Oryctolagus cuniculus: one gene and its partners. The protein of the gene in region 4 interacts with the protein of the main gene of each other region in a pairwise test. Links are inferred from orthologs where the notes say so. Each region holds a gene or a part of one and is shown on either strand. Other genes may lie near its edges.

Region 1 (4,350 bases), on a different chromosome or scaffold from region 4:
TTTTCTTAAGTAGTTACCAGTGCTTTGGGGAGTCAGGGAATAAACCCCCAAACAACACATGAACCTAGTCAGCGGTAGCATTTGATTCCTATGCCAAGACCAAAGCAAAACCACAGAATCAATAAAGCCAGGTGACAATCCTTAAAAAACCTTAAGACCCAGAGACCCCAAAGCATGGCAGCCAGCCTCTCCCCCAGCAGGAAGAGCCAACACATTAAAAATAAACGGTCTTTATTGCGTCCACGAAAACAAAGTCGAGGTGGCCCTTGGTTAACCTCAAAAAGGTGACAACGAACAGGAGGCATGCATGAGCACATGACAACATCTCTGAAGGAGTGAAGTCTTGCCCTCCCAGGCCCTAAGGGTCAGAGGCAAGCAGGGCCAGGAGGCTCCAGAGGAAGGCACGCCCAGGCCTACCAGAACGTGAAGGGCCCGAGTCTGCTGCCTCCCTGGTGGGAGCAGGCAGGGGGAGCAAGCACTGCTCAGGGCTAGGCCCAGCCCCCAAAGCTAGAACACACAGAAAAGCCCCCACCCCCACCCCCAGCACACACTGCACTAAGGCAGACAGCCAGGACTTCAAAGAGCTGGCTCTGAAATCAAGACCCTCAGGGATCCATCCAGAAGGGGTTGCCTTCCTCTGCCTGCAAGGAATAGTAAACAAAGAGCAGGAAGGCAGCAAAGACCAGGAAAAGCAGCAGCTGGCCCCAGAGTGGGACCTGGCGGTCCTGACCCAGACCAGCTGCAGGGGCCTGCTTTTCTGGTCGGATGGCACGGCGGGCGAGCCATGATGGAGAAGGCGAAGAGGCCACAGAAGAGGAGGATGCAGGGTAATAGGACAGGCCCAAGGAACTCCTGGAGACGTTGGAAACAGGGCGGTAGTGTGCGATGCTCTGGTAGGCACTGTCACGGCCATATGTGGAGCGTTCCCTAATGCAAAAGAGGGGAGCAGGTGAGCCAGGAGAGCTAGGCCCAGAATCACTGCTCCCAGGGCCTTCCCACTACTCACCTGTCCTTGTCCTCCTCTTCAGAAGAGAAAAGATGGTCACTGCGCACCTGCAGACCAGAATCGAGGTGACGGGACTGGCCAGCAGGGTCAGCACAGCCTGTCGTATTACTCAGCCCACTCTAACCATTGCTTAAAGGCCAGACAGGGCAGGCATTGTGGCGTGGCAGGTTTGGTTGCCAGTTAGGGTGCCCATATCCCATACGGAGTGCCAGTTCAAGTTTTGGCTGGTTTGCTTCTGGTCCCCTGCTACCCCTGTGGAAAACCTAGATGGAGTTCTGGGCTCCTGGCTTTGCCATGGCCCCCATCCTGGGCATTTAGGACATTAACCAGGGGATGGAAGACCTCACTTTCTCTTTTTGTCTTCCTGTTGCTCTGGTTTCAAGCAGATGAAAATAAACATTTTTTTTTTTAAGATTCTACTTATTTATTTGAAAGGCAGAGTTAGAGAGGGAGAGATCTTCCACCTGTTGGTTAACTCCCCAAATGGCCACAATGGCCAGGGCTGAGCCAGGCTGAAGCCAGGAGCCTGGAATTCCATCCAGGTCTCCCATGGGAGTGGCAGGAGCCCAAGTACTCACACCATCCCCCACTGCTTTCCCAGGCACAGTAGCAGGGAGCTGGATCAGAAGTGGAGCAGCCAGGACTCCAACCTGGATGCACATGGGATGCTGGCACTGCAGGCGGTAGCTTAACCTGCTGTGCCACAGCACTGACCCCAGAACCCTCTTTTCTCCCCCTGGATTCTGAGTTGGAACTTCAGATCCTGACCAGGGTGCAGGCCACATCCTGTGTGCTCTAGTCAAATACTCTTGACACGCCCCGTAGCAAAGTCCTAACTCATCCTAACTCTCTCTGGAAACCTAGGAGCTAGCATTTGTACCCAGTGATGCTGGGATTTACCCAAACCCAGCTGTCATCCCTTCAAGCTGCCCCCGGATATGAGGTGCCCGACGGCAGCTCACCTGGTGGTGGGAGGTGTCAGCATCAGAAAGCGAAGTCCCGGGTTGCCGGAAGCCTTTGGATGTGCCCACAGACTCGGGCTCCCCGTAAGTCCTGGTGCTCAAGTAACTCTCCTCGTAGTAGTCATCATTATAGCCTTGAAAAAGGGAGCACTGGTAGCAGAGGGCAGACCCGTGTTCCCCAGCTGCTCCAGGGACCCTTATTTAAACAGCGTTTTTGGGGCCCCTCTCAGGTCGCTGAGGCTGGTGGGGAGTCGAGGCCTCAGGTTTTCCCTACGCCCACGGTCCGGGACAGGGTGGGTGAAGGTGTTGGGGTGATGGTGTTAAGGGTGTCAATTCCTTGCCTTACCCTTGCTCTGGTAAAGTAAGGCGTCCTCTTTCTTGGGCAGGTCGTACTTATCCGAGTCCACAGATGCCGAATCCAAGTCTGAATTGAGGGGGGGGACGAGACCATTTTCCCCCAGGCTTCCCTCCCTTCTTCGCAGTGCCTCTCTCGGCTAGCAACCCACCCCCCACGCCACACCCTCGAAATCCCACCCTCCCTGTCACCACCGGCAGCCAGCTGCTCACCCGAGAACCGATAGGAGAACGAGGAAGCAGACGAGTTGGGTGGGGAGAGCCTCCGCCTCTGGGTCTCGTACTCGAAGATTTTCTTTTCGTAGAGCTTGCGAGTGGAGCCTGACCAGACAGCGGGCGCGGGGCGGTCAGGGTCGTGGGCTGCGAGCCCAGGGAGGGAATCTGGGTAGGGGACGCAGGCGGGGGGTACCGGGGGGCTGCGAGACGGCGCGCGGGAGAGCGAGTCCCGGGAGGCGTCCCGCCCGCTCCCGCGTACCCACGACTGGCCCGTGCGGAATGTTGTACTGGCGCAGCACGGCGGCCAGCTCGGTGTCCGACAGGACCGCGTAGTCGTCCATCGCGGGCGCGGCCGGCAGGTGGCGAAGGGCTGGGGGCAGCCCGGGCCTGGCGACACAGGCCAAGCAACACCACTGCCTCGCAGGGCTCGGGAGCGGCCGCGCTTGCGTCACGTCTGCGTCACGCTCCCGTCATGGCCGCGGGCTCCGCAGGCTGCGCGCGCTGCGCGGGGCGGAGCCAAACCACAAGGAGGAGCCGGCACGGACCGGTCTAGCTGTGGGAGCGGGCGGGGCGGGCCTGGCGAGCTCGTATTTCAAAAACGTGCGAGATTGGTTTGTGGCGGAAGAGGGGCGGGGCCTGTGTGGGAGCCAAAGTGGCTCAGACTACTCAGGCCGTGGGAGTGGGCGGGGCTGCACGCTCGAGAAAAGGGGCTGGACGGGCACGCCAAGACGTCACACGCAGGCGCTTCTGAGCTAGACTCGCGGGAGGGGCGGAGCCTATGCGACCCGAACCGGTAGAAACCGGCCAGAACGTGGGAGCTAGGGAGCCGGCGGCGTGGGTGTCTTTGCGGTGGTTCGGGCCGGTTGACTCTTGCCACATCCCTGCGCCTGCACTCGTCGTCCCCCTTTTCCCGGGATCCCAGGCCGAGGGTTCTCCCGCAGCAGCGGGAAGGAGCCACCCTTTGCACAGCGCCGCTCTCGGGCCAGCCACTGCTGTCTACGCTTTGGGTGCGCTACGCGGACCCCCTGGCCCAGGCCGGCCTCGCTGACCTGCACCGGCCCTCGCCTGCGCACCTGCGCCCATCGGTTCCCATCGCCTCCCTCCCTCCTTCCCTTGCTCCTCCCGCCCTCCACCCGGGAGGAAATGGGGCACTGGGCCAGGAGGACGCGGGCACTCCTGGAGCAAACAGCCTTCGAAGGGGCCCGGCGGGCCGTTCCAGCGGGCACGGGCAGAGCGCGCTTCGGAGAGGGAGTGTGCCCTCCCAGCCCACCCTACTGTCAACCCGGGGTACTGGGTGGAAGGGAAGGGGGCTCCAGTCGGAATGGCCCTGAGCCCAGTGACCAGGAGGGGGCCGGGCAGGGGCAGAGGAGCCTGGTGAGCCGTGAGAGACTGCCAAGGCTTGCTCAGGTTCCTGTACTGTGGCTGGGTTGGCAAGGGTCTTAATCAGAAGAGGGCTGTCCCCTTGGGGAGTCGAAAGGAAGTGACAGAAGTGGGTGCATGAAGAGATGAGGTGCCGTCCTGGCCTCACAGATGTTAGCTGGTGACAAGAAAGTGCGAGGGCTCTGATCAGCTCCAGGCTGAAGGGCCCAAACTGGTGATGGTCACAGGCCAGTTCTCTGAGGAAGATTGCTCACACAGAATGGGGACAGACAGACCAGGGAAGAATGTGGAAGAGACGAGGCCCTTTGACCGTAGACAAAAACCCTAAGGAAGAGGGGTTTCCGTTTGCCAGATTCTAGAATAAAGACCTGGCCCAGTCTGTTCCTAGCAATGTGGGAGAAGTTGTGTGCATTCCCAAAGACAGTGTGCATG
Region 2 (4,311 bases), on a different chromosome or scaffold from region 4:
AAAGACTCTTTTTCTCTCAAGATGCTATTGGATTAAACTTATTTCCCAGGTTAATAACTTATTATTGATGTAACAAAGATGTAAGTCTCAGCCATTCTTGCTCATTGCCCAAAAGATAGATAAACATTGGCATGTATTCCTTACCCTTGAATCTCAATTGGATCTCACATCCTATTGCCTTCATACCCCACTCCCACAGCCACCTGAAAGACCAGTTGCTGGAACACTTGAAAGACCAGTTCCGGGAATTCCCCTCCACCTGCTGCTCCCTAATCCCACCCCCGCCTCTAGCCCTCCTAAAATATAAACAGGCCAGGACCCCCAGGACGGGGGGTCAGGGCCTCCTGCCACGTGTTCCATCAATGTGCAGGAGGGCAGTTGGTCATTCACCTCTTCTAATTTATTTTCTCTGAATAAATTCAGTCTGGCTGTAAATTCATTCACTGCCTCCTCTCTATTCTGCACCTCTTTTCCTAACATTTATGGTGCCCCGTGTGAGGAGGCACCAATCTGCAACTCTTTTCCTAACAATTATAAAAACTTATTTTTGTGTTTTAAGAAAGCAACTTTAAGGCAGAAACTGAAGTCACAGCTACATCACTGTCACAATGGGAAACCGAGGAAACAGGACATGATGAAGATTCAGAGACCTCTAGCCGGGAGACCATTACCTTGTCACACATCAGCAACATCAGAACGCAAACACCAGCGGACTCCGAGCATTTCCTGCGTCCCAGATGTCTTCAAAAACCATTGCTGCAGAGTCTCCTCAGGGTACCTCATCCTGTGAGATAACACGAAATTCTCACTTGACCCAGGCAGCAGCACCAACACACTCCTCACCACACCCTACCCCAAGCACTGAAAAACCCCAGTCGGCACATTGCTATATGTAAGGCAGTATTCAGCACCACGTGTCTAAGGGATTCAGGCGTGCTCCCTAACCCCAACGATGCTTCTAGAAGGGAGCCGAGGGAGCAGCAGGGAGCCGGCTCGCTGGGGGCTCCGAGAGACCCCTGCTGCCTTAGCCCAGCACGAGTCTCCCCCCCTGAGTGTGACCAAGCACAAATCAGTTAGCCTCTGCTGCCCCGCCAGTGGGTCTCGGACTACTTGTTTGCAAGACGAGAAACTTGGACGAAGTTCTCTCAGACTTCCCTGAACTAACTCTGCAGGTAACAGTGAGTACCAGTATGAATCAGGAAAGGTAAGTCAACCACCTCTCGTGGGCCGGGAGAAGCTGAGCTATTGTGTTAAATGTAGGGACCTGTAGGCAGCTAATCCCACGGCCCTAGCATACGGGGTCACGGTACCGAACAGCGAGTTTCAGGGTCCGGAACAGGAAGCCAAAGCGGATGTCGCCCCTCTTCCGGAAGTCCCGCCCACTCCAGGAAGCGAGTCCCCATCGCTCCTCCAGCCATGCCCTTTACGACAACAGCGAACTACTTTTCCCAGAATGCCATTCAACTCTCCTCGCGGAGCACCAATGGGCGCCCGGGTTGACGCCATCAGTCGGCGCGGTGTACCAGGCTTCAGTGATGTCGTGGCGCTTGGGGTGAAGAAGTTGGTGCTTCGCGGCGCCCTGGGACTGAAGACGCGGTCCGGGTGACCTCTGGCCCTTTCCTAACTTCTCTACCCCCGCCTGCCTTTTTCCTCCCTCTTCTGGCGGGATGAGGCGTGCAGGCCTGGGTAAGAAGAGGTCCGAGGTGCGAAGTGGGGAGCCCCAGAGCCGGCCTTGGTCGGCGCGGGAGAAAATCGCCCTGGTGTCCTGTCACTCGGCATCTGGTCCAGAAACGGCGTGTGTGGAGGGGAGCCATGCAGGCGGTGCCTAGTGGAAGCACGTCATTTGTCCTAGATCTTACGGGGGTATCCTTAGGTTTGGTCTCCGGACCCGAGTCTTGGAGAGTAGCATAGGACTGGGGTGCGGTATATGCAGGTGCCAGCTCAGTCGTCGGACTGTGTGCTGTGTGGTGGCCTGGCCTCTCTGCTGTTTCTGCTTTCCTGCTGCCTCTGCCTCTTAGAAGGGAGATACGAAGAGTGGGGTTGCATGCTAAGCGCTTCCACAGTGATTATGTGAGTCGGCTAGCAGTGAGTGACAAAGGTACATGTACACGTCGTTACCTTACAGGCCTTGGGGTGTAAGGTCGGGGTCAAAGGCAGTGTGCCTGGAGCATTTCTTATCTGAACCTCTTCCACTGGTTAGCAGCTGTCGGGACTACCTCTTATGGTTCTGAAGCTCTGTACTAGGAGATGGTTAAACACGAGGAGGAGGAGGAGAAAGACGAGAAAGAACCCTGCTCTATCAGTGCAGCGTGATTGAGAATATATGTGAGCATTGGCGAAAGATGACTGTCTCTGCCAGCCGTGGTAATAACTTGGCAAAAACGAAAACAGGGCTTACGAAAAGTGTCAACTTTAAGGTCAATGAAAGTTGTCAGTGTGTCAGTGTTCTTTCTTAGTGCAGTTTTTGTGAATCTGGTTGGAGAAAGCCAGGTAAATTGAAGACAGAAAAGAATGTTGATCAAGTTTAGTTTTCACCAGCCTATGTGTTTTCTCAGTGTCTTTAGGTTGTATACCTGAATGAGCTCTAGCTATATAGTTGTTTTGTTACTTTCTTGGTGCTCCCCACAGCTGGGAAGTAGGAAAATGTGCAAAGGTAAATTATGGTACAAGGTGGCAGCTATACATCCAAACACAAGATAATGTTCTGCAGATAATGTCTCAGAAATTGCAGAGATGGTGACCTTGAAGTAGACCATGAATAATGAAGTTAGGAAAGATGAGTTTCAGGTGAGAGGATCACTAAAAAAGAAAAGAAAAAACAAAGAGCATAGAACTAGGATTATGTAGCTAAGGAATTATGACTCAACCAATTTGATTGAACCAAGAAACATGAGACCACATTGTGGAGATTGCATTATAGGCCAAGGAGTTTAGATTTCCTAAATTGCCCTTGAGGCCCACTTATTTTTTGCACTGCACTCTCCCTGGTTAAGTTGCAGGAAGGGGACTTGAGAAGTAATTGTTCTCAGTCCTGATAGCACATCGATTAAGGAACTGTTGCTATAATTTACATTGTTATGAAGTGACGGTTTTTTTTAAAAAAACTTGAAGTGCCAGTGTGAAATGACCTGCAATTTTAGATTTGGAATAATAATGAATTTGATAGATATTCATGTGAAGAATATTTGTGTTGGTGGATGATGTTTTTTGCTTTTTTTTTTTTTTTTCAAATATTTATTTATTTGACAGGCAGGGTGACAGATCTTTTGTTTGCTAGTTTACTCCCCAGATGGCCTCAACAGCTAAAACTGGGCTAAACTAAAGCCAGGAGTCAGGAACTCCATCTGGGTCTCCTACATGGATGGCAGTTTGGCTCCTCCCCCACTGCCTTTCCAGCCACATTAGTAGGGAGCTGCTTTGGGAGCAGAGTAGCCAGGACTTGAACAGGCATCTGATAAGGGATGCCCAGCATGGCAAGCAGTGGCCTAATTTGCTACACCATGAGTCCATCCCTGGGGGAGGGTGATAGCTGAGAGAAGATAAAACTCTAATAGAAATATGCACTGAAAGATTTCCAGACAAGAAATAAAATGAGAATTTCATTTTAAATAGATGGAACAGGGACAGGTATTTGACCTAAGTAGTTAAGCCACTGGTTGGGGCAACTTTGTTGAAATGCTTGGTTTCTTGTCCCGGCTCTGCCGCCAGTTCCAGCTTCCTGCCAGCGCAAACCCTGGGAAGGTAGCAGGTGACTGCTTGAGTAGTTGGGTCCCTGGCATCCTTGGGGGAGCCCTGGATCTAGTCTCCAGTTCTTGACTTCCGCCTGGCTCAGCCCTGCTGTTCATTTGGGGGCACAGACTGGCCTAAGGGAGCTCTCTGTCTCTTTGCTTCTCAAAATTTTTTTAATGAATAAATGAAGCAATATAAAAGAAATCTAAAACTAAAATTAATGTATGTGAAAAGACCCAAACAAAGGACATATAGTAAGTAGCTATTCATTTAGAACTTGAAGAAGTTCTAGAATTTCTTGAAGTTACAAAGTGATTGAATCCAACCAGTCAGTAATTACTTATTGGGCAATGTTATATACTTTGGCTCTTAAACATATAAAATAAGTAGAAGATGTTTCCATTTCCTTAAGGATGTTGATCATTATTATAGATTGCACAGACTATTCATTAATAAAGTTGCATTTTTCAAGACAATGATTTTAGTTGTTGAGTGGGGGGAAAATGAGCCCAGTCTTTAAATTCATAACACATTAGCTTTATGGACAGTGTGTCAGCTGTTGGGGGAGAATTTGAGAATTTG
Region 3 (4,228 bases), on a different chromosome or scaffold from region 4:
TTCTTCATTGCAGAGGGTAACTAAGAGGACTTGCAGGCCGTGGCAGGAGATAGGGAGGTTGGGGAATGTGAGGGCGGGCAGCACGTTGGTGTGCGTTGCCCCACTCATTTCTGGAGATATCGTTTGCTAAGGACTTGTGATAATGGCTGAAGTCTGTAATATTGAAGCTTTCTCACGTTTCATGGCTCTTACGAACTTTTAGTATTGAATTTGTGCCTGTACAATGAATGAGGCAGGAAAAAAAAAGCAAACAGTTTGGTTTGCACTGTGGTCTAGGAGACTTGATCTCAATTATTTCTCAAGTCTTGGTGACCAGATCAGAATAGGTTGCTATTCCAAAGAAACGAGCAGTTTTCTGATTAATTTGGAAGGGAAACTGCTCTTTTGTTTGGAGAATCCCTTAGTGAGTTTCTTGCAAGTTCAGGAAAGTCTGGGACTCCAGCCTGAACTGAATTGCAGGTAAAAAAACAAGTGGGGTTCTGGGATTTGTGTAGCATGAGAGCTCCCAGGATTGTTTCAGGGAGGTAACCGGATTTTTTTTTTTCTTTTTTATCACTAATCAGGATGAGACTTGTTCTACAGTTGATAATTAACCAGAGTTGCGACCTCTAGATTTTAGAAGGAAGTAATGAGACTCACTGTGCCAGGCCAGGGGAGCAAACAAGTGTATTGCAGGCCACAGGTGTCTTCATCCTCACCTCTGCGAAGCCTTCTTTAGGAGTCTGCTCTTTACCCTGCCTCAGCGCATAGTTTTCCTTTTTCTGGGTCCCCTGCACTTTGCACTATCCTTTATCACAGCAACCAGTCATTCCGTATTGTAATCTAGTTTCTCCCGGTAGAGGGAGGGATCTCAAGGCCGAGGGACTGACGCTGGTATTTATACCTTGGTTCAAACTTCAGCTATACCGCTAGTCAGTTTTGTGATTTCCATTTCCTTTATTTGAAAAACGGGCGAAAAGACGCCCTATTGCCTAGGGTCGCTGAGAAACCTGAAGGAGGTATAACACATTCAAAAGTAGGGGGAATATGTCAGATAAAGGGCGACTGAGCCGGTAGTCTTTTGTTAATTAGCCTGACCTACCTTTATCCTGTATACTCAAAAACTTATTGAGCACTAACAGCGCTCTAGGACCTCGGATGGCTCCGGGGTATGGCTCTCACGTGTGGCTTGTGGGCCTTGTCTCACGGGCCGAATCGGGACTGGTTCCGTACAGAGGAAGCCCCGCCCCCGCCCCCGCTCCCTCGTCAGTGATTGGCCCGGAGATCGTTCTGCCGTTTCTGGTTGCCAGGATCGCTGGTAGGGGGCGGTACTAGGTTGCGCTTGCGCATATCGAGGAGGAAGCTTTCCGGTCGGGCGGGAGGAGGTGACGTCAGGCGCTGTGGCGGGCGGGCGCCTCCCCTAGCTGTGTGGACGTTTTATCTGTGGGCCTTGTTGTCACGTCACAAGTCAGCGACTAGGTCTTGGCGGTGGTGGCCGAGTCGGGGAAGGCGGCAGCGGCGGCGACAGCTCTGGGGTTTGCGTCTCGGGGTGTGTCGGCCGCCGCTGCTGCTCAGGCCTGGTATGTACAGATGGCTGGTTAGGATTCTCGGCACCATTTTCCGTTTCTGCGACCGGTCAGCGCCCCCCTCCCGGGCCCTTCTGAAGAGGCGGCGCTCGAACAGGTGAGCAGAGTGGGCTGAGCGCTGGCTTGGCCGTGCCCCTCCCCCACATCAGGCTCCTCGGCGGGCACTGCGCTGACCCAGCCGGGCGGGCCCTGCTCTGCTTAAGTGGGTCGGAGAAGTGCGGGGCGCGGGTATCCTGATGACGTAGTCGCGCCCATCAGGCTGGTGTGTGGAGGCGCAGCTCGTGATGAACGAAGGGGCTGTTTGTTTTTGGAGTTGGAGGGTGATGGTGGGCTCTTTAATATTCTTGTCAGAGTCCAAGCTGGTGGCTGGCAACACATGGGATTTGGCACGTTTTGCTGCTCTTAGGCTGAAAAATAAAAATTGAAGGAGTGCTGTCTGTGCTGCGGCTCTGTCTACGAAGCACACTCCCAGCTGTCAGTTAAGGGAAGTGAGATTCATAGCTTACCCAAAGCCCTTTTGACTGCGAGTACTGTTCTTTTAGCACCACAAACAGCAGCTGTCTTGTTCTGAAACAGCTGTCAAACAGTGTGTGTGCGGGGCCCCCTGGGGTGAGGGGGGGGGTTGCTTCTGTGCTTTAGAATTAGTATATTAGAAAAAAAAAATTAGGTGCCAGCTCCTTGTTAAAGTTCACTGGTCCATTCCTAAAATTTGGGAGAAACTAAAAACTCTTCCGACTTAGTATCTCCTTGGCTTGTCTCATAGGGTCCCACCTTCCATAAGAATCTAGAAAATAAAGTACCACACAAATTCTGTACACCGCCCACCTTTTCAGCTCTCAAGTGTAAATTTGAGTTTTTTTTTTTTTTTTTTTTTTTTTATTAAGCTGGTCAAGGTCAAGGAAAAGTAGGGAAAAGATTGGTTTCTGGGAGCTTGAGAGAACAAGATGGTTAATACATGAGTCTGAGAATGTAGTCATCAATAAGTTTGATCGCATATACTCCAGAGAGACGTGGTTTCAATTTACTCCTCTTTTTGAGCTTTCTGTAGGGTTAATGTGAGGATAATTTGAGAACATGTTGTAAAGTGCCTAAATTGATGCTTAATATGTATAGAAGTAGTTTATTCTACCCTAAGGGCTTTGTTCAGAATCAGGTGCAGGATAAACATTTGGTGCATACTTAATGTTAATTTACTCACGCTTGTTCTTTCTTTTTGATGTGAATTTCTGCTGATGACTGGGAGTTCTTTACTGCTCTTTAGGGATTCACATCCTTTATCTAAAACTGCTCTTCTCAACATAAGCCAATTTTCAGTCAGGTCTTGAGATGTTTAATGGCAGAATGTTATTTTCCTTGGATCTCATTCTGTTAAATTTTTTAAAGATTTATTTATTTTTGGAGAGGCAGAGCTACAGAGAGAGGGAAAGACAGAGAGAGGTCTTCCATCCTCTGGTTCACTTCCCAAATGGTCGCAATGGCTGGAGCTATGCTGATCCAAAGCCAGGAGCCAGGAGCTCCTTCTGGGTCTCCGATGCGAGTGCAGGGGCTCAAGCACTTGGGCCATCTTCCACTGCTTTCCTGGGTCATAGCAGAGAGCTGGATCGGAAGAGGAGCAGGCTATGTGGGATACTTGGCACTGCAGACGGAGGCTTAGCCCAGTATGTCATAGTACCAACCCCATCTATTAGTTTATAAAAATATGATTAATCATAAGGATTCAGAAAGATGATTACTAGTATACCAAGATACTAATATTCTTGACTTGTTGGTTTAGAAACCTTCCTGATTCCAAAGTCTTTATTGTGATGTAGTTTCCCATGATAGAAATGTAGTTAAATGTAGTTAAATGTATTATCTTTTGCTAGCTAAGAACAGTCTTAAGACTGCATATGTGTCACTTGAAGTAAAACAGAACTTTCTTTGGGGTTGTCTTTCAAAGGGAACTTATTTACTTGTTTTTAAATTATTTCTGTACAGGAAAAGAGAATAATAGGCCTAGGCCTTCCAGGTTCATCTACTAGCTAAGTGACTTCTGCCCACTTTCAAGTTTGTACTTTAGCCTACAGATTATTACATGGTAGAGAATTGGGTTCTTTCTCAGATAGTTGAAACCATAATTCTTCAAATGCTGAAGAACTATAGAATAGCATTCTCTTTTTATTTTAAAGGTTTGTTTTTGTATCTGAAAAGCAGAGTTACCCAGAGGGAGAAGGAAATGGAGAGGAAGATGGAGAGAGAGAGAGAGAGAGAAAGAAAGAGAGCGATAGCGATAGCTATCTTCCATCCACTGGTTTACTCCCCAAATGGCCTCAAACCCTGCTGAAGCCAGGAGCCTGGAACTCCATCTGGGTCTCCCATGTGGGTCGCGGGGCCCAAGCAGTTGGGTCATCTTCCACTTCTTTCCCAGGTGCGTTATCAGGGACCTGAATCAAAAGTAGAATAGCGGGGACTGAAACTAGTGCACATATGGGATGCTGGCTTAACCCACAGTGCCACAACACTGGCTCTACCACATTCTCCACATTTTTTAAAGAAGTATTTTATTTGAAAGCGTTACAGAGAGAGGTAGAGCCAGAGAGAGAGGTCTCCCATTCCACTGGTTCACTCCTCAAATGACCACAATGACCAGAGCTGACCCGATCCAAAGCCAGGAGCCAGGAGCC
Region 4 (3,641 bases):
TGGCATTGAGGAGGGTCTGAGGTTCTGAATGCAGGATCTGGAATCACGCGTGCTGGGGTCTGGATCCACGTGCTCACCGTGCAGCCTTGGCCACGTTTCTTAGCCTGTGCTCAGTGTCCTCTGTGCGGTTGAGGGTGGTGATTCTGTGAGTAGTTAGGACGGCGGGCACGGCGCCTCCGGGAAGTCTTCTCGCCAAAAAGTCAAACCGGGGTCTGGGCGAGCCCCTAGGTCGCTCAGTCGCAGGAAGTAATGACGAAGAAAAGTCACTGTGAGATGGAAAGAAATGGAACCCTTCAGCCGAAAGCAGTGGAGGGCCTTCTGCGGGTCCTCACTGAACAAACCAAACGTGCAGAGACATCTGTGAGATAGTCACACCAGAAAGCTCAAGGTACGGGATGAGGCGAAGACGTTGTCGATCCCCACGATGCTGATACTGGAAGTGGCTTTTACTCAAGGAAGCGAGTCCTCAAACAGATCAGTGCCGAGGGACTGCAGCGGAAGTGGGTGGCTGGGATGTGCTTCATAATAATCGAGTCGGGGCCTGCATTTAGCCTAGACCACGTCAGGGGCCGGCGTTGTGGCCTAGCGGGTAAAGCTGCCCCCTACGACGCCCGCATTCCATATAAGTACCGGTTCATGTCCCAGCTGCTCCACCTCTCATCCAGCTCCCTGCTATGACCTGGGAAACCAATAGAAGATGCCCAGGTGTTTGGGCCCTGCTTCCCATGTGAGAGACCCGGATGAAGCTCCTGGCTCCTGGCTTTGATTTGGCTCAGCCCTGGCTGTGGTGGCCATCTGGGGAAGTGAACCAGCAGATGGAAGAGCTCTTTCTTTCTCTGTCTCTTCTCTCTGTAACTCTGACTTTCAAATAAATAAACAGGTATTTTTAAACAGACACCAGTTCAGGTGCCCGCATCCCTGGGTTGGATGCCAGCTCTGGCTCCTGACTCCAGCTTCCTGCTCCTGCAGGCAGTGACAACGGTTCCAGTCACTGAGTTTCCAGCACCCACTGGAGACGTGCGTTGAGTTTCCTGCGCCCTGCCTCAGCCTGACCCGACCCAGCCTTTGTGGGCATTTGGGGAGTGAGCGAGCCGGCAGATGGGAGCGCTTTGGCTCTCTCTGTGTCTGTCTCTTTGCCTCTCAAATAAGTAAATAAAGTTTTAAATAAGCAGGGCAGGCCTTTGGTTTAATGGTTAAGGTGCCACTTGGGACGCTGCATCCCGTCTCAGAGCCCCTGGGTTCAGGTCTCCCCGACGGCTCCTACTTCCAGCCCCTGCTAGTGCGCACCCTGGGCCAGTGCGGGGATCCCGGCCGCCCCAGGCTGAGTTGCTGGCTCACTTCAGCCTGGCCTGCTGTAGCTGCTGCAGGCGTCTGCGGAGTGACTCAGCGGCTGGATCTTCGTCCCTGTGTCTCTGCCTCCAGATAAACAGGAGTAATATGAAATAAAATTCTCATGTAGATACTTGTGTACACATATGCATGAGGGGGTTCAAAAAGCTCATGGATGGCCGGCGCCGTGGCTCAATAGGCTAATCCTCCACCTTGCGGCGCCGGCACACCGGGTTCTAGTCCCGGTCGGGGCGCCGGATTCTGTCCCGGTTGCCCCTCTTCCAGGCCAGCTCTCTGCTGTGGCCCGGGAGTGCAGTGGAGGATGGCCCAAGTGCTTGGGCCCTGCACCCCATGGGAGACCAGGAAAAGCACCTGGCTCCTGGCTCCTGCCATCGGATCAGCACGGTGCGCCGGCTGCAGCGGCGGCCATTGGAGGGTGAACCAACGGCAAAGGAAGACCTTTCTCTCTCTGTCTCTCTCTCTCACTGTCCACTCTGCCTGTCAAAAAAAAAAAAAAAAAAAAAAGCTCATGGAAATGAGAATTATGAGGAATGCATAGATCTCAAACATTGTTCACACCAAACTAAACAACTTTATATAAAAACCTTGAGAGATCCTGTCTTCAGCCCACTCCCCTGGTGCTTGAAGTGGTCTTACCCAAGCCAAGGGCTAGGAACCCAACCCCGGGCTCCCAGGCGGGTGCCAGGAGCCCGGTTACTCGAGCTGTCCGTGCTGCCTCCCAGAGTCTGCACCGCAGGAAGCCTGAGGCAGGGAGCAAACCCAGGAAGCAAATGTCTTAACGGGTGGCATCTTAACCACTGGGCCAAGTGCCCGCCCCAAACTGGTACAAACTGGGAATTCCATCTTCCCGTGAACACGTCGGAGACCCCTCGTGCTTGTACACCATCTATCAAGCATTTGATGTTTGCCAGGAAAACACACTGGCTGTTTTACGCTCATCAACATGTAGGTACTGGAGCTACCACCAGTGTAACCGGGGCCAGCCTGCTGGACTTCTCTGCGCCCGAGTTATCTTTTAAAATGGGGGATAAAGAGGCCGGCGCTGTGGCATAGTAGGCTAAGCCTCCACCTGTGGTGCCAGCCTCCCACAGGGGCACCAATTCTAGTCCCGGCTGCTCTTCCAATCCAGCCCTCTGCTGTGGCCTGGAAAAGCAGTACAGGATGGCCCAAGTCCTTGGGCCCCTGCACCCGCGTGGGAGACCCGGAGGAAGCTCCTGGCTCCTGGCTTTAGGTCTGCCCGGCTCCAGCCGTTGCAGTCATTTGAGAAGTGAACCAGCAAATGGAAGATCTCTCTTTGTCTCAGTTTCTCCCTCTCTCTGTAACTCTGCCTTTTAAATAAATAAATAAATCTAAAAACAAACAAACAAACAGCCAGGGCCCCTCTAGGAAGGTTGCACTCGCGTTCGGCAGATGCCAGAGGCCCTTTCTTCCAGAACGGGAAGCTGCTGGCCGAGCGGGACGGAGTGAAGAGGAGGAGTGAGGAGCTGGCCACGGAGAAGGACGCTTTGAAGGTGCTGCCCCGCCCTGGCGCCTGGCACCTCCCCAGCATCCCCGGGCCGTTTGCACCACCTCGGGTTTCAGCCACCACGGCTGCCGAGAGCAAGGGTCTTCCATAGCGCTCCAGCCGGCAGGCCGGTGAGGCCGCCCACAGGGCTCGGTTGAGACCCCTGTGGTGGTGGCTGACGGCCAGGGATGCTGCGGGAGGGCGGGGCTGGGGAGGGCAGGGCTGAGGGGAGTCCCAGAGGCCAGACAGACACGGGCTCTTCCCTGGCAGCGGCAGCTCTACGAGTGTGAACGCCTCATTTGCCAACGAGACGCCGTCCTCTCCGAGGTGAGGGGCCGGGGAGGGGGATGGGTTGCCCGCCTTGGTCACCTGCCTGGTCCGTCGCAGTCGGGCGAGGGACGTCCTGCCTGGGTCTGACCCCGGCTCCCCCGGGGTCCCAGATGTGGCCCTGCAGGCTGAGGAATCCCTCTGCCTGTGCTGTCCTCAGGCCCTAGCCTGTCCCCTCAGTGCCCTGCCAGTGCCCAGCAGTAGCAGCTCCCCTGCCTCTGGGCAGTGGGCCCTGCTTACGGGCTTTGGGCTCCCGCAGCGCACGAGCCACGCGGAGAGCCTGGCCAAGACCTTGGAGGAGTACAGGACGACGACCCAGGTAACGGGCTGCCCTCGCTCTCTCCGTGCAGGGTCTGGACTCGCTGCCCCTCCTGGGGCCTCTCTGCCTCCAGGTCTTCTGCACCCGCCGAGTCACTGTTCTCCCGCTCGACCCTCTCTGTGCCTGTTCTCCTTCTTCCTG
Region 5 (4,438 bases), on a different chromosome or scaffold from region 4:
AGTGGGTGACCCCTGCGAGGCACCCACTTCTTGGGACAGCACCCCTTGGGCGTCGCCCTCCTGTCCTCAGCTGCACCTGAGCAGCCCCGTGGCCTTGAGCACGCACTTGACCTGGAGCCATTGTGAAATGGGAGCAAGTCTCATCCCTGGGCTACGGCAAGGCAGAGGAGACCCACGGGACCCTCAGCCCAGGGTGGGGGCTCGGTGGGTATTCTGTGGACCCTGCCTCCGGCACTAACAGGTGAGGTGACCTGGGCACTCTCTCTGCCTCTGTTTCCACATCTGGAAAATGGGCCGGATGGTGGTGGCTATTTCCGTGAAGTGGAACAAGCGCCAGTGTGAGGTGAGACAGCCCTGCCCTCGCTGCGGCTCTGGGACGGCTGTGCCTCCGGGGGAGGGGGCCTCGCCTCCCTGAACCCCGACGCTGAGCAGCGCGGGTGAAGCCAGGTCTCATGGGAGAGCTGCCTGGCTGCAAAAAGGCAGGAGCCGGGGGGGGGGGGGGGTTGCCCTTCACCGGTGACCCTGGGCAGGCGTCAGCTGCCTCGGTCCTGCCTGGGAGTCCCCCCTCTGGAGCAGCCCTGCCCGGGACTGAGACTCAGTGCCTTCCCCAGCCACCTGGCGGCCCCACGGGTTAGCAAGGGGTTCACACCTGCCGGAACCCCCCCTCCCTGCGTGGGACAGGCTCGGGCGCAGCAGACAGAAGCAGTTGATAGAGGGGCTGCCTCAGCACGAGGAGTGGGCACAGCTGTCTCTGCTCTCGGGCTGAGCAGGGGTCTGGGCCAGGCTCTGCTAATTGGGCGCACCTGACCTTGACGGGGAGCGGGGGGTGGGAGCAAAGCCCAGCCGGGATCAGGAGCGTCCCCAAGGGTCCCCATGGCAACCTGGGTGCCCAGATGTGACCAGCTGGTCCCCCTTTCCTGCCGCCCCCTCCCCCCCACGCAAACCACAGACAGCAGAGCGGAGAGAGTCACACCCACTTTGGGGAGCTGAGTGAGCCCCTCGAAGGGTGCACGTGGGGATACAGGCGGCACCACCGAGACCTCATCCCACCCCCGCCCAGCTGTCAGCAGGTCCTCAAGCCTTGGGTCAGAGCCCGAGGGCGACTACCTAAAACCACCAAGGCGAAAACACTTCAGCTAGCTCCGGGTACCCCCACCCCCTTGTGGCTTTTTAAAAAGTAGCAGCAAGGTGCTGGGAACGGATGCTGGGTGTCTGATTTCAGATCTGCGAGACGTTTACAGATGGGAGTCACCTGTTTAAGCACGAAGTCGTGAAAACACTGTTCTAGCGCATGCAAACGAGTCCAGAAAAAAAAAAAAAAAAAAGCAAAGCCCACCCCGGGCCCAGGTGGAAGAATCAAGGGGTCCCCACTTCCCTCCCTCCATTGGGTGCACCGGGGGTCCCTGGAGAACACCTCCCTCCAGCACCCACACCAGGCCAGCGGGCAGAAAGGGCAGGATTGGCACTGCAGCACCAGGGGGGCAGGGGGCGGGCGCCCCCGCACTGGGCTCACCCCAGAACCAGAGTCCCCGGGCACGCGGGATCGGGCGACCGCTAGCCCCTGGATCTGTCCACGAAGGGACGTGCTGCCCACCGAGGTCACTTATCAGGGTGCTGACCCCGAGGCGAGGCCTCCCACCCACCGCCCCGCTCCAGAACCGCGGGCGGGCACGCTGTCCCCGCCGGGGCCGCCTCTGCCGCACGCGCCCGCCCCGCTTCGCGTCTCCGGCGCGCGCGGCGCGGGGGTGCCCGAGGCCCCTTACCTTATCCGGGGGCGGGAACTGCAGCTGATTGACGTCCAGGGGCGTCATCAGGGGAATGGTGTCGAAGCCATCCTCAGGCAGCGGCTGCTTGCTGCCCTTGTCGGCGAAATTGTTCCCCAACTTCACCATGGTTCCGGGAGACCCGAGGCTGCCGCCTGCGGAGGCAGGGCCGGGCGGGAGTTACCGCGAGCAGGACGCGGGGAGGGTCCGCCCGCCGGCCCGGCCGACGTCTCCGGGGAGGGGTCGAGGGGACGCGGCGGTCACCGCCGATGCGGAGTGGGGGTGGGGGCGCGCTCTGCATTTGCGGAGCCACCTCGCTGCGCGCGCAGGGGCGCCCCGCGGCCGGCGAAGGGCCGCCGCCCCTGTCCAGCCCGTCTGGGCGCGCCCCTTGCCCGGGGCCCGCCGCGCCCTGGCCACCCCGCCCGCCCCGGTCTCCCCACCCGCGACTCGGGGCGTTGAGCGGCCCCCGAGCCCCGCTCCCTGGCGGGCGGCGCCCGGCCTCGGCCGCACTCACCCCACGCCCGGCTCCGGCAGGTCTGGGCTGCGAGCGCGCTCCGAGCCTCCGCGTCGGCCGCTCCTGCGCGCAGCAATGGCGGAGGCGGCGCCGCGCGGGGCTGGCGCGGAGCAGCGATTGGGCTCGACTGCGGCCCCCTCCTCCCCGCGCCCGCCGCCTCCCTTCCTGCCGCTCCCGGGGTTAATTGTGCGCGGGTGGCGGCGGCGGCGCCTCCGCCTTGACGCAGCGCGCCCGGCAGCACAAAGGAGCGCGCGGCCGGGCGGGGGAGCCTCCCCCGGGACCCCGCGGCCGCCCCAAGCCCGGGGACAGCCGAGAAGGGGGCGGGGGTGGGGCGCGCCCCGCTGGGAGGCTTGAGGGTGGAAAGGCGCCCCGGGGCGCGAGAGGGTGCGGGCTGCGCAGGCCTGGGGCGGTGGCGGCGGCGCGGGCGCAAGGCGATTCGAAACGAGAAGGGGGGTTTAGGGCTGGAGCGATCCCCCAAAGGTGGGGGGACGTGGGGAGTGGGGCAGTCGCGCAGACCTGGGCGTCCTAGGAAGCGTTTGGAGAGATCCCCAGAGGCGGCGGGCTGGGGCCGAGTCCAGAGCCTCCCCTGGTGCTGGGCCGGGGTGGGAGAGGCGACGGGCGGCAGGGTCCCGTGGGTGCGGGATGCAGGGCTGCGCCTCCGAGAGCGGGGGACGCGGGCGCCGGAGGGCAGGTGTCCGGGGCGGAGAGCGCGCGGCGCGGTGAGACCGAGGGGCTCCTGCAGTCTGGCCGGAGCGGAAGGCGAGATCCCGCGCGCCCGGCGGAGGAGGGGCCGCTTGGACGGTCCCGGGCGCGCAACGAGGACGCGGGGTTCTAGCCTGACCCGCCCCCCACCAGCCAAGCCGGACCGCGTCGCAGTGGCCCGGATCAGGGGGCCCGCTTTTGCGGACCTCCAGAAGGAGGACTTGGGGCACTCGCCCGAGGACAAGCTCCGGGGGCGCGCGAGGATCGCGGCCTCCCGGGCACCTGGAAGGCGTTCACACCCCTTGCGAGCGGTGGAGGATCGGAGGCCTGGGGTTTCCCGTCAGTTCGGGAGTCTCCGGGAATAAAGAAAGAAACGGGGTTGGGTGGGGAGCGGAGCGGGACCCGCCGCGGCCGGCCTGGAGCGCAGGCCCAGTGAGGGAGCCTGCCTGCCGTAGAGGGTGCGGGGAGGTCTGATTTCAGAATCCCCCTCCCCCGGCCCCGACCCGTTACTGGTGAGCTCCTGGGCTCTGCTTCAGCCTCCCCAAGTCTCCAGCAGAGGCTTGGCGGGGTTTCGCGGAGGAGGCGGGGGTGGGGGTGGGAGGGAGCCGGGCCATGCTCTCCCTAAGTGGTACCTGGGGTCCACCCAGGAGGGATGCGGGCTCTGCCTCCGGCCCCTCCCACCGGCCTTAGGCAAGGTCACAGCCATCTCCCACTTGGAAGTCACTCCAGCCACCAGTCCTGCGACAGGAGAAACCACATGGGCTTAAACGGGGGAGTGGCTCTGTCCCCATTTCAGACCTGTGCATGTCACAGAACCCAATATATGTGTTGGTGGTGTGTGCACTGGGGGTGTGGCAGCTCCCCCTCTACTGTACCCCACCAGCAGGAAGGAGGCTGCAAGGATGTTGGTGAGCCTGGGGCTCTCCTTTGTCAGGGAGGGTGGAGAGGACAGAGAAAAGCATCCCCCACCTGCCCCAAACACAGGATGGAGGGGGGTGCATGTGGGTGTCAAGAACGCCTTATTGGGGTGGGGCCAAGTTCAGAAGGAAAAAGCCCAGAGTCTTGCAGGGGTCAGGGGAGGATACAGATGCGATGAAAAAAAAAAAAAAATACCTTAGAGTGCAGGGCTTTATCAGAGGCTGAGGCCCCCAGTTCCACACCCCCATTTTTTTTAAAGATGTATTTATTTGAAAGAGTTACACAGAGAGAGGAGAGGCAGAGGCAGAGAGAGGTCTTCCATCTGCTGGTTCACTCCCCAATTGGCTGCAATGGCCGGAGCTGCGCCAATCCGAAGCCAGGAGCCAGGAGCCTCCTCCAGGTCTCTCACCTGGGCACAGGGGCCCCAGGACTTGGGCCATCTTCCACTGCTTTCCCAGGACACAGCAGGAGCTGGATAGGAAGTGGAGCAGCCAGCATCCATATGGGATACGGGCACTGCAGGCGGGTAAAGCTACGCCAC
Region 6 (3,641 bases), on a different chromosome or scaffold from region 4:
CTCGGGTTCTCTGTTCCTGTCTCAAGCTTTCTGCTAATGCACACTCTGTGAAGGCAGCAGGTGATGGCTCAAGTATTTGGGTCCCTGACACCAACACAGGAAACCTGGATTGAGTTCCTGGCTCCTCTGGCATTGACGAGTGAACCAGTGGAGAAGAACAGTTCATCTCTTTCTCTCTCTCTCTCTCTCTCTCTCATGATTAATTTTTTTAAAAACCAGAATGATTATTTTTCCTGGCTGCATAGTTTCCATAATACAGTGGTGAAACTGGACATCCTTTCAGGATAATTGATTTATCATTATGTTTAATTATTACATTTATTCTAAGAGGTGCCTATGGTTTTAACTTCCTCTCTTGAAATATTTTCATAGAATTTACTTTCTAAAAGGTAGGGAAGTAATATTAATTGTTTTACCTTCTATCCGGATTCCTATTCACAGTGTAAGGATATCAGTCACATGTGATTAAACTTCCTTTCACATAAAGAGATTTGGCTGTGTGGCACCAGGTTTTGGTTAGCTTTTCTAGTTTCTTTGCCATTTTAGAAGTAAAACATAATCACTCTAACAAGAAAATTACTCATAATTTCTTTACCAGTAAATTTATAAATTTCCTGATTCTCAAATTACTCATGTGATATTAGAATAATTATACCTCTTTTGCATTGCTGCTTCAAGATATTTGTATTAATAATAATTGTTTATTAAAGGTTTACTGTGATCCAGGAACTTTACTAAACATATTATATGTTAACTCTCTTAATTATCACAATTCTATGGGGCAGACACTACAAGTATACTTATCCTAATTTTATAGTAAAGAAAATGAGGCTCGGGTAGTTTAAATAACATGTCACAGGTTACAGAGTTCATTAATGAGATGGTAAAAGCTATGAAAAATGTTCTATAAACTCTAAATTGATTTATTGAGCCCTGAAACTCTCATTTGTTAGAAGTAAAATATAGTATGATTTCCATTTCTTCTTGTTTTTTAAAAAATTTATTCAGAGGCCAGTGCTGTGGCATGGTGGGCTTAGGCTCCACCTGCAGCACCGGTATCCCATATGAGTGCTGATTCAATTCTAGGCAGCTCCTCTTCCACTCCAGCTCCCTGCTGTGACCTGGGACAGCAGTGGAAGATGGCCCAAGTACTTGGGCCCCTGCATACACCTGGGAGACCAAGAAGAAGCTCCTGGCTCCTGGCTTCAGATCAGTCCAGCTTCAGCTGTTGCAGCCATTTGGGGAGTGAACCAGAGGATAGAAGACCTTTCTCTCTGTCTCTCTCTATCTGTAACTTTCCTCTCAAGTAAATAAATAAATCTTTTATTAAAAAAAAAAATTATTCAGGGGCCAGCGCTGTGTCATAGCGAGTGAAGCTGCTGCCTGCAGGGCTGGCATCCCATTGTTCAAATCCTGACAGCTCCACTTCCAAATTAGCTCTCTGCTATTGCCTGGGAGGACAGTGGGAGATGGCGCAAGTCCTTGGTCCCCTGCACCTGCGTGGGAGACGGGATAGAAGCTCCTGGCTCCTGGCTTTGGATCGGCACAGCTCTGGCCACTGCAGCCATCTGGGGAGTGAACCAGTGGATAGAAGACCTCTCTCTCTCTCTCTGCCTCTGCCTCTCTGTAACTCTGCCTTTAAAATAAATAAATGTTTTTAGAAATTATGCATTTATTTGAGAGGCAGAATGAGATATCTTATATCCTTGGTTCACACCCATATGACAACAGCTAGGGCTGGGTGAGGTAAAAGCCAGAAGACCAGAACTCCATCCAGGTCTCCCACATGTGTGACAGGGGCCCAAGCACTTGGGTCATTTTCTACCACTTTTCAGGGAGCATTAGCAGGAGCTGGATAGATGCAGAGCAGCCAGCAATGCAAGGAGCAGTTTAACACTGGCCCCTCTATTTCTTTTTTCTTTCTTTTTAAAAACTTTTTTATTTTATTTGAAAGCCAGAGTTACAGAGAGAAGCAGAGACAGAGAGAAAGGTCTTCCATCTGCTGGTTCACTTCCCAGATGGCCGCAATGGCTGGAGCTACGCCGATCTGAAACCAGCAACCAGGAGCTTCCTCCGGGTCTCCCATGCAAGTGCAGGGGCCCAAGCACTTGGGCCATCTTCTACTGCTTTCCCAGGCCACAGCAGAGAGCTGGATCAGAAGAGGAGCAGCCAGGACTAGAACTGGCGCCCATATGGGATGCACCACAGCGCCCGGCCCCTTCTTCTTTCTGTTTAAAAGTTCACTTGCTACATCGATGGCTTGAGCGAGGCTCATGAAAGGGAATGTGTGTCTCTCATCCACTGACAGGACAATTGCTGTGGCGTCAATGGCCCATCAGACTGGCAGAAATACACGTCTGCCTTCCGAGCTGAGAATAATGATGCCGACTATCCCTGGCCTCGCCAGTGCTGTGTCATGACCAATCTTAAAGAACCCCTCAACCTGGAGGCTTGCAAACTAGGAGTGCCTGGTTATTACCACAATCAGGTGAGTCCTCTCTCCTGCCGAGACCTGCCGGAACATTCTCCCGCTCTTTATGAGAAAGCATGGTCAGCTGTAGATAACGCTCTCTCAGAACAGAATGCTACATCCTTTCCCCCAACCTCATGTTAACCATTTCCCCCTTCTCTGTAGATAAACTGTGAATGCCCTTTGAGAGCTGCTATGAGGAAGTTTGCATTTTAATAAAACAGAACAGGAGATTTGCAATAGCAGAACCCAACTTTGTTTTAATGAAGTGATTTTACAGTGTGTAGAATTGGTATAGAATTGTATTGAAATGGTTTCCTTAAACGGAGATCTGCTCTGCTTTCGCATCGTATAAATAGGAAGGGATGATATGCACACAGAATGCTTTGCCAGCTCCAAAGTAGGGGCAATTTCTGAGGGCCAGCGAGGTCACTGCACATTCACATTCCTTTTCCAGCGGAGTGTGACTGTGTTTTTAACAGAGTATTTTGCTGGAGATTTAGGAAGTTCACATATGGTTTGTTTTTTGAGGAAGTTGTTTTCAGGCAGAGGAGGCTGATAAAATGTTCACGAAGCATTCACTGAGTCCTTACTAAAGGCCAGACACTGTTCTAAGTGCAGATGCTAATTCCACGGATGCTGAAAAGATGGCGCCAGTGTGTCCCCTATTTGACTGAAACACAGAAATGCTCATCCGAGCACAGCCTACGTGCCAATGAGGCTTGGTAAGACTTCTCAAAGGCTCTCATGGGGACTCCCATATTCCTGGAGTCAGCATCCACTGACATTGCACTGTCATGCTCTATACTGCCTTGGGAGCTGCCCCCTTGTGGAGGGTTCTTTAAATAGTTAGAAAATGTCAGGCTCTTTAGTTTGGGAGTAAATATGACAAACTGCATGTCCAGCACGCAGGACACCACACTGCTGATCCTGGTGCCAGATCTGGCAGGGTACCCAGACTAAGACTGCACATAAATGATCCAGAAAATGAGAAGGAAGCAAGGTAGATTATTTTGCAGTAAGTGTCAAAGCAATCCTCATTCAGCCTTATGGCCACATTGTTCTGGGCATTTAAAAAAAAATCAGTTATAATCAGACTTCTATACAAATTAAATGTATTATTTATAATCATAGTATGCAATAGAACTATTACTCTCAGTATTAATAAAAT
Region 7 (4,211 bases), on a different chromosome or scaffold from region 4:
GCAGAGAGCTGGCCTGGAAGAGGGGCAACCGGGACAGAATCCGGCACCCCGACTGGGACTAGAACCCGGTGTGCCGGCGCCGCAAGGCGGAGGATTAGCCTAGTGAGCCATGGCGCCAGCCTTTCGTAAGCTTTTTTCAGTACCACTTGCCTCCTACTCATTTTAAGTATGGGTTTATGCAGCTGGAATACTTCTCCTCTTGTTGTTGAGAATGCAAGACTCGCTTCCTGTTTGTGTCAACAGATGTGTCCACTGACTTACTGGAGAAGGGTGTTTAGGGCTGGCTCTAGAAGCTTGCTCTGGCAAGTGGAAAACGATGGCAGTGATGAACAGAATGCTGGGTTCTCCAGATAGTTACCTAGCAGCTCACCTGTTTGATGATGTATGTTAGCTCCTCAATTTCCACTGCTTTATCATCAAAGAGGGACTTGCGCTTTGCCACTACAGAGATAAACAAGAAGCCACGGTGGGTGAGAACAAAGGCAAGGCTCAGGGGGCTGGCTCCTCTGCCCTCTTTGGTTCATCCCACAACCAGTAAAAGATCCCATGAATACTTACGGATTGTCAGCTTCTCCAGCTTGGCAAATGTGTTGCTGAGGTCTTTCCCGATGCGCCTGCAAATGACCAACAGTGAGAACACCATGGAAGGGGGAGGGAGAGGGCTTATTCTCACACTAGCTCTTAGCACAGCCAATCCCAGCCCTTACAGCCAAGTCACCAAAAGCAAGCTTCCTTCCAGACACTGTATCACCCTGCCACAAAGCTGCTCTCAACTCACTTGGCCATGAGGGTGAATTCACTGCGCTGTCGGACAGCACGCAGGGCCGGCTTATTTGTCTGGATTCCATTCTGAAAAGCAATGTCCGGAGGTGAAAACTTCACTTTCCTCCTCCCCACTTCCAGCTTTCAACGTTTCTCGGGCTCCCCCCAAGCTCTCTCTCGTGCTCCCCCCAAGCTCTCTCCAGTTCTGCTGGCCTAGATTTATCAGCAATAGTGTTCAGAAGCCAGATCTGAAGACGGGCAGGCTTAAGCTCAAGTCTGGACTCTACCACTAATTAGCAGAATTAGCGCAAGTTAAACTCTTCTACATCTGTTTCCTCTCCCTGAAGATGAAGACAATCCACTCACCTCTGATAGTTGCTGCCAAAACTAGATAACATAAAGGCTGTAAAGGATTTTAACCAACCACCTGCGGCACTAAAGAAAGATCCCTCACATCGGCATCAAAGAGGAGAACCCGAAAGCTCTTGGAGACCATAGAGAAGAGAAGTTCGTCAACAAGAGCTGAACAATAAAAATATTTTAAAATACTTACTCAGGTCCCACTTAGTGTCAAAATCTGGGGACTTAAACTAGGGACTCTAATTCTTAAACAAACACTCCAAAATGACTTGGATAAAAACGGCCCATCCGGAAAACTTCCTTCTGCTCCCCCACCGTCTCTCTCTGTTTTACAGACTGAAAATTTTAATTTCCCCAGAGTCGCAGAGCAAACTCACGGCAGGACCACACTGCAAGCACAATTCAAGGTGCGTGCCCCACAGCGGGTGGCTCTTTCTAGGTTTATTCCTTATCCAAAAACCCTGCAGCCCTTTAGGCATTCCATCAATCTGACCCTCCGGGGAACTTCTTCCCAAGCCCACGTGTCCCTGATGGTGGGGAGCAGACCTGCCCGGATGTGGGCGAGGCTCCCACTCTGGGCCTTACCTGACGACTCTGCAGCGACTTGCAGGCGGACAGGAACTCCTGGGTCCGATCCCGGCAGGACATGGTGTCGGGAGGGGAGGGGGCCGGGGCCACTGGGGGGGGCAGAGGGGCGATGTCGCTGCTGCTACTGCCAGCAGTTGCAGGGGACAGGACCTGTGTCTTCGAGAGACCCAGGTAGACGCCCTGATCCGTGTTCTTAGACCCGTAGCGTTTCCGCGGGATCATTGAGACGCATAACCTCTGTCGTGGAGGGGAGAGAGTCATTCCCCAAGCAGTGCAAACGCCTTCCCCACAAACGCCCCTCCAACCAGCAAATCCTGGGCCACCCGCAGACCCCGGGGCCGGCGCGCAGCGGGAAGGGCCCCACCTCCTCCGGGCCCGGGTCGAACCCTCCTCAGACTCTTCCAACTCGGCTCCGGCGGCCAGAGCGCGGGTAGGGGGCCCCGAGGCGGAGCCAGAGCCAGGTCCCGAGGCCCTGAGGCTCCAGCCCGGCCTGTGCAACTGCCCCAGCCCCTAACTGGGCCCCCGCATAGCCGTGGTTGCCTCTGACCCTTCGGGAAGAAACGGTGACGGACCTCCTGCGGGGGGACACACTTCGGTGGGCGGAGAGGGAACCTCTAGGTGTTTATTTGAAACAGGAAGTCCCACCCCTGCCAAAGTCCCGCCTCCTGAAGGACTGCGCCACTCATTAGCTAACGCCGACGTCTTTCTCAACAGAGGCTTTCCTGATTGGACGTCGTGGTATTCGCTCACCCGGAGCCGGGCCGGCAGGACTTGCCCGCTCGTTCCCGGCTCCCTTCCCCCGCCCGTCGCTACCCCGGTGAAGTCGCTGCCCAGGAGCTACACGGCGGCCAGACGCCCTCAGGACGAATCCTACCTCCTGTCTGCCGCCTGCCGCCGCAGCTACTGCCACAGCCTCCCGGACCGTCACCGCCTCCTCCCCGGGCTCTGAAGCCGCCGAAATCCGACCGAAACCTAGGGTCCGCCACGTCACCCACACGTAACCCCACCCCCGTGACGGGAAGGCAGCGCCACGCCTTTTCGAGCCCGGCGACCTGGGAGGCACGCCCCCCGCCCAGACGCAAGCGTGGCTCCCCCCTCCCATTGGCCGGGCCGCCGCCGTAGCCCCGCCCCGGGACGGAGCCTTAAAGAGCCCGCCGCCTCCGGGGCCCCTGAGCCCACAGCCCACGGAGCGGGCTGCAGAGGGTACGAGTCATCTGGCGGGTCCACGTTAGAAATTTTATTCTCTGAGGGCTGCGGCGGACTGACAGCAGGGCTGGGGTCACCCCTTCTCCGGCTCTTCCTGGCTTTCCTCAGGTTTGTCTTCCGGGATGGGACTCTCCCTCTTCTGGATCTGCTCTGACTGCCTCTTGCCGGACCGCGAGGAGCCCCGGCGGCTGAACAGGGATAGCCGCCGCCACAGCACGGTGATCAGAAGGCTTTCGTTCGACTTGCGATTCCGGTGGCCAGGGGAGTCCAAATCGATTCCGTGGGCGCCTGCAGGGACGAGGCCGCTGAAATCACCTCTACCCTCCCCGGCCGGACCTCCGGGGCTCTCCCCCGGGGCAGCGCCTTCCCCAGCCTCCGGGCCCTCACCGCCCCTGGTCCTACCTTCCCCAGCTCCCTCGAACTCTTTGGCCTGCTCATCGGTGGTCGGAAAGTCCTTGTCTTGGCAGCAGCCCATGGCCCCGCACGGCCCCTGACTCCGTACCACCCACGCCAGCCTGCCTGGCTCCAGGCCCGGCTTTTGTGACGTCAGATATCCCACTGCCCCAGCGCAGGGAGCCCCCACAAGCCACCCCTCTCCTCCCATCACAAAAGGCTCAGGGTCATGCGGGTATTGAGCTGTTTATTTACAAAACGGGCACAGGGTCTTCAAGGGCTGGTGGAGCCAGCGCGCTTCTTTTTTCTCCGTCTGCTTTGGAGAGCCCCTTGCGCCGGCTCCGAATCAGGGAGTTTGCGCTTGGCAGCTGCCTCCAAAGATGCCCAAAGTTCATCCGTCTCCCTGTCTTCTGAGGGCAGCTCACCGGGCTCTTGAGGCTCTTGGGGTTCATCCTGGAGAGTGGGAACGAAGTGCAGGGTCAGAGGCACAGTGACAGACCCCGGGAAGGAAGCCCTGCCTGGGAGGCAATTCCCCTGAGCATCAGCACCTTTGTCATTTTCCCAGCAACCACTGCTGTCCAAGCTCCTGGAGATGCCACGCTTGGCAGTCACCCTGTCAGAACTTCAGCTGTTCACACCCCAGGAAAATGTAGTAACTGGGCAGCCCCCTGTGTGTTCCAGCTGCCTCTCTCTGTCCTCGGCTGCCGTGTTCCCAGACCCAGTTACTTACCTCCCAGTTATCCCTGCCTGACAGGAGCAGGCAGTTCAGTCGAGACTTGAGATAAACCTGCAAAGGAGGAAAGGCCTTGAGGAGCCCTGGCCTGAGGCAGAGACAGGAATGGGGCACAGAATGCAGGGGCTCCAAGACAGAGTTAGGGGTGAGGTCAGGGGACTGGGCTCTC

What was found.
Region 1: the proteins of KASH5 (region 4) and EMD interact in binary tests that used the Homo sapiens proteins (3 or more experiments, as listed by UniProt). The two-hybrid records come from large-scale screens. The link is inferred for Oryctolagus cuniculus from reciprocal best matches to the Homo sapiens genes KASH5 and EMD.
Region 2: the proteins of KASH5 (region 4) and BET1 interact in binary tests that used the Homo sapiens proteins (3 or more experiments, as listed by UniProt). The two-hybrid records come from large-scale screens. The link is inferred for Oryctolagus cuniculus from reciprocal best matches to the Homo sapiens genes KASH5 and BET1.
Region 3: the proteins of KASH5 (region 4) and SENP2 interact in binary tests that used the Homo sapiens proteins (3 or more experiments, as listed by UniProt). The two-hybrid records come from large-scale screens. The link is inferred for Oryctolagus cuniculus from reciprocal best matches to the Homo sapiens genes KASH5 and SENP2.
Region 5: the proteins of KASH5 (region 4) and NSG1 interact in binary tests that used the Homo sapiens proteins (3 or more experiments, as listed by UniProt). The two-hybrid records come from large-scale screens. The link is inferred for Oryctolagus cuniculus from reciprocal best matches to the Homo sapiens genes KASH5 and NSG1.
Region 6: the proteins of KASH5 (region 4) and UPK1B interact in binary tests that used the Homo sapiens proteins (3 or more experiments, as listed by UniProt). The two-hybrid records come from large-scale screens. The link is inferred for Oryctolagus cuniculus from reciprocal best matches to the Homo sapiens genes KASH5 and UPK1B.
Region 7: the proteins of KASH5 (region 4) and STX5 interact in binary tests that used the Homo sapiens proteins (3 or more experiments, as listed by UniProt). The two-hybrid records come from large-scale screens. The link is inferred for Oryctolagus cuniculus from reciprocal best matches to the Homo sapiens genes KASH5 and STX5.

What each region holds. Positions count from the first base shown.
Region 1 is NC_091453.1:132,604,033-132,608,382, reverse strand, and holds EMD (emerin), read right to left. Parts: upstream 2,880-4,350; coding exon 2,798-2,879; intron 2,644-2,797; coding exon 2,536-2,643; intron 2,393-2,535; coding exon 2,315-2,392; intron 2,103-2,314; coding exon 1,969-2,102; intron 1,054-1,968; coding exon 1,007-1,053; intron 928-1,006; coding exon 606-927; downstream 1-605. UniProt on the Homo sapiens protein: Stabilizes and promotes the formation of a nuclear actin cortical network. Stimulates actin polymerization in vitro by binding and stabilizing the pointed end of growing filaments. Inhibits beta-catenin activity by preventing its accumulation in the nucleus.
Region 2 is NC_091447.1:41,915,429-41,919,739, forward strand, and holds the start of BET1 (BET1 homolog), read left to right. Parts: upstream 1-1,458; 5' UTR 1,459-1,667; coding exon 1,668-1,686; intron 1,687-4,311. UniProt on the Homo sapiens protein: Required for vesicular transport from the ER to the Golgi complex. Functions as a SNARE involved in the docking process of ER-derived vesicles with the cis-Golgi membrane.
Region 3 is NC_091435.1:95,245,959-95,250,186, forward strand, and holds the start of SENP2 (sentrin-specific protease 2), read left to right. Parts: upstream 1-1,348; 5' UTR 1,349-1,561; coding exon of another isoform or gene 1,562-1,662; intron 1,663-3,733; 5' UTR 3,734-3,868; coding exon 3,869-3,972; intron 3,973-4,228. UniProt on the Homo sapiens protein: Protease that catalyzes two essential functions in the SUMO pathway.
Region 4 is NC_091449.1:7,997,727-8,001,367, reverse strand, and holds part of KASH5 (protein KASH5), read left to right. Parts: intron 1-2,783; coding exon 2,784-2,861; intron 2,862-3,124; coding exon 3,125-3,181; intron 3,182-3,440; coding exon 3,441-3,500; intron 3,501-3,641. UniProt on the Homo sapiens protein: As a component of the LINC (LInker of Nucleoskeleton and Cytoskeleton) complex, involved in the connection between the nuclear lamina and the cytoskeleton.
Region 5 is NC_091433.1:4,764,533-4,768,970, forward strand, and holds the start of NSG1 (neuronal vesicle trafficking-associated protein 1), read right to left. Parts: upstream 2,927-4,438; 5' UTR 2,794-2,926; intron 2,410-2,793; exon of another isoform or gene 2,278-2,409; intron 1,919-2,277; 5' UTR 1,893-1,918; coding exon 1,764-1,892; intron 1-1,763.
Region 6 is NC_091435.1:75,698,184-75,701,824, forward strand, and holds part of UPK1B (uroplakin-1b), read left to right. Parts: intron 1-1,954; coding exon of another isoform or gene 1,955-2,179; exon of another isoform or gene 2,180-2,308; coding exon 2,309-2,488; intron 2,489-3,641. UniProt on the Homo sapiens protein: Component of the asymmetric unit membrane (AUM); a highly specialized biomembrane elaborated by terminally differentiated urothelial cells.
Region 7 is NC_091432.1:8,759,317-8,763,527, reverse strand, and holds the start of STX5 (syntaxin-5), read right to left. Parts: upstream 2,817-4,211; 5' UTR 2,813-2,816; coding exon 2,585-2,812; intron 2,359-2,584; exon of another isoform or gene 2,075-2,358; intron 1,948-2,074; coding exon 1,708-1,947; intron 850-1,707; coding exon 779-849; intron 615-778; coding exon 559-614; intron 442-558; coding exon 371-441; intron 1-370. Other genes in the region: TEX54 (testis-expressed protein 54), read right to left, coding at 2,990-3,204, 3,319-3,391; WDR74 (WD repeat-containing protein 74), read right to left, coding at 3,583-3,762, 4,040-4,096. UniProt on the Homo sapiens protein: Mediates endoplasmic reticulum to Golgi transport.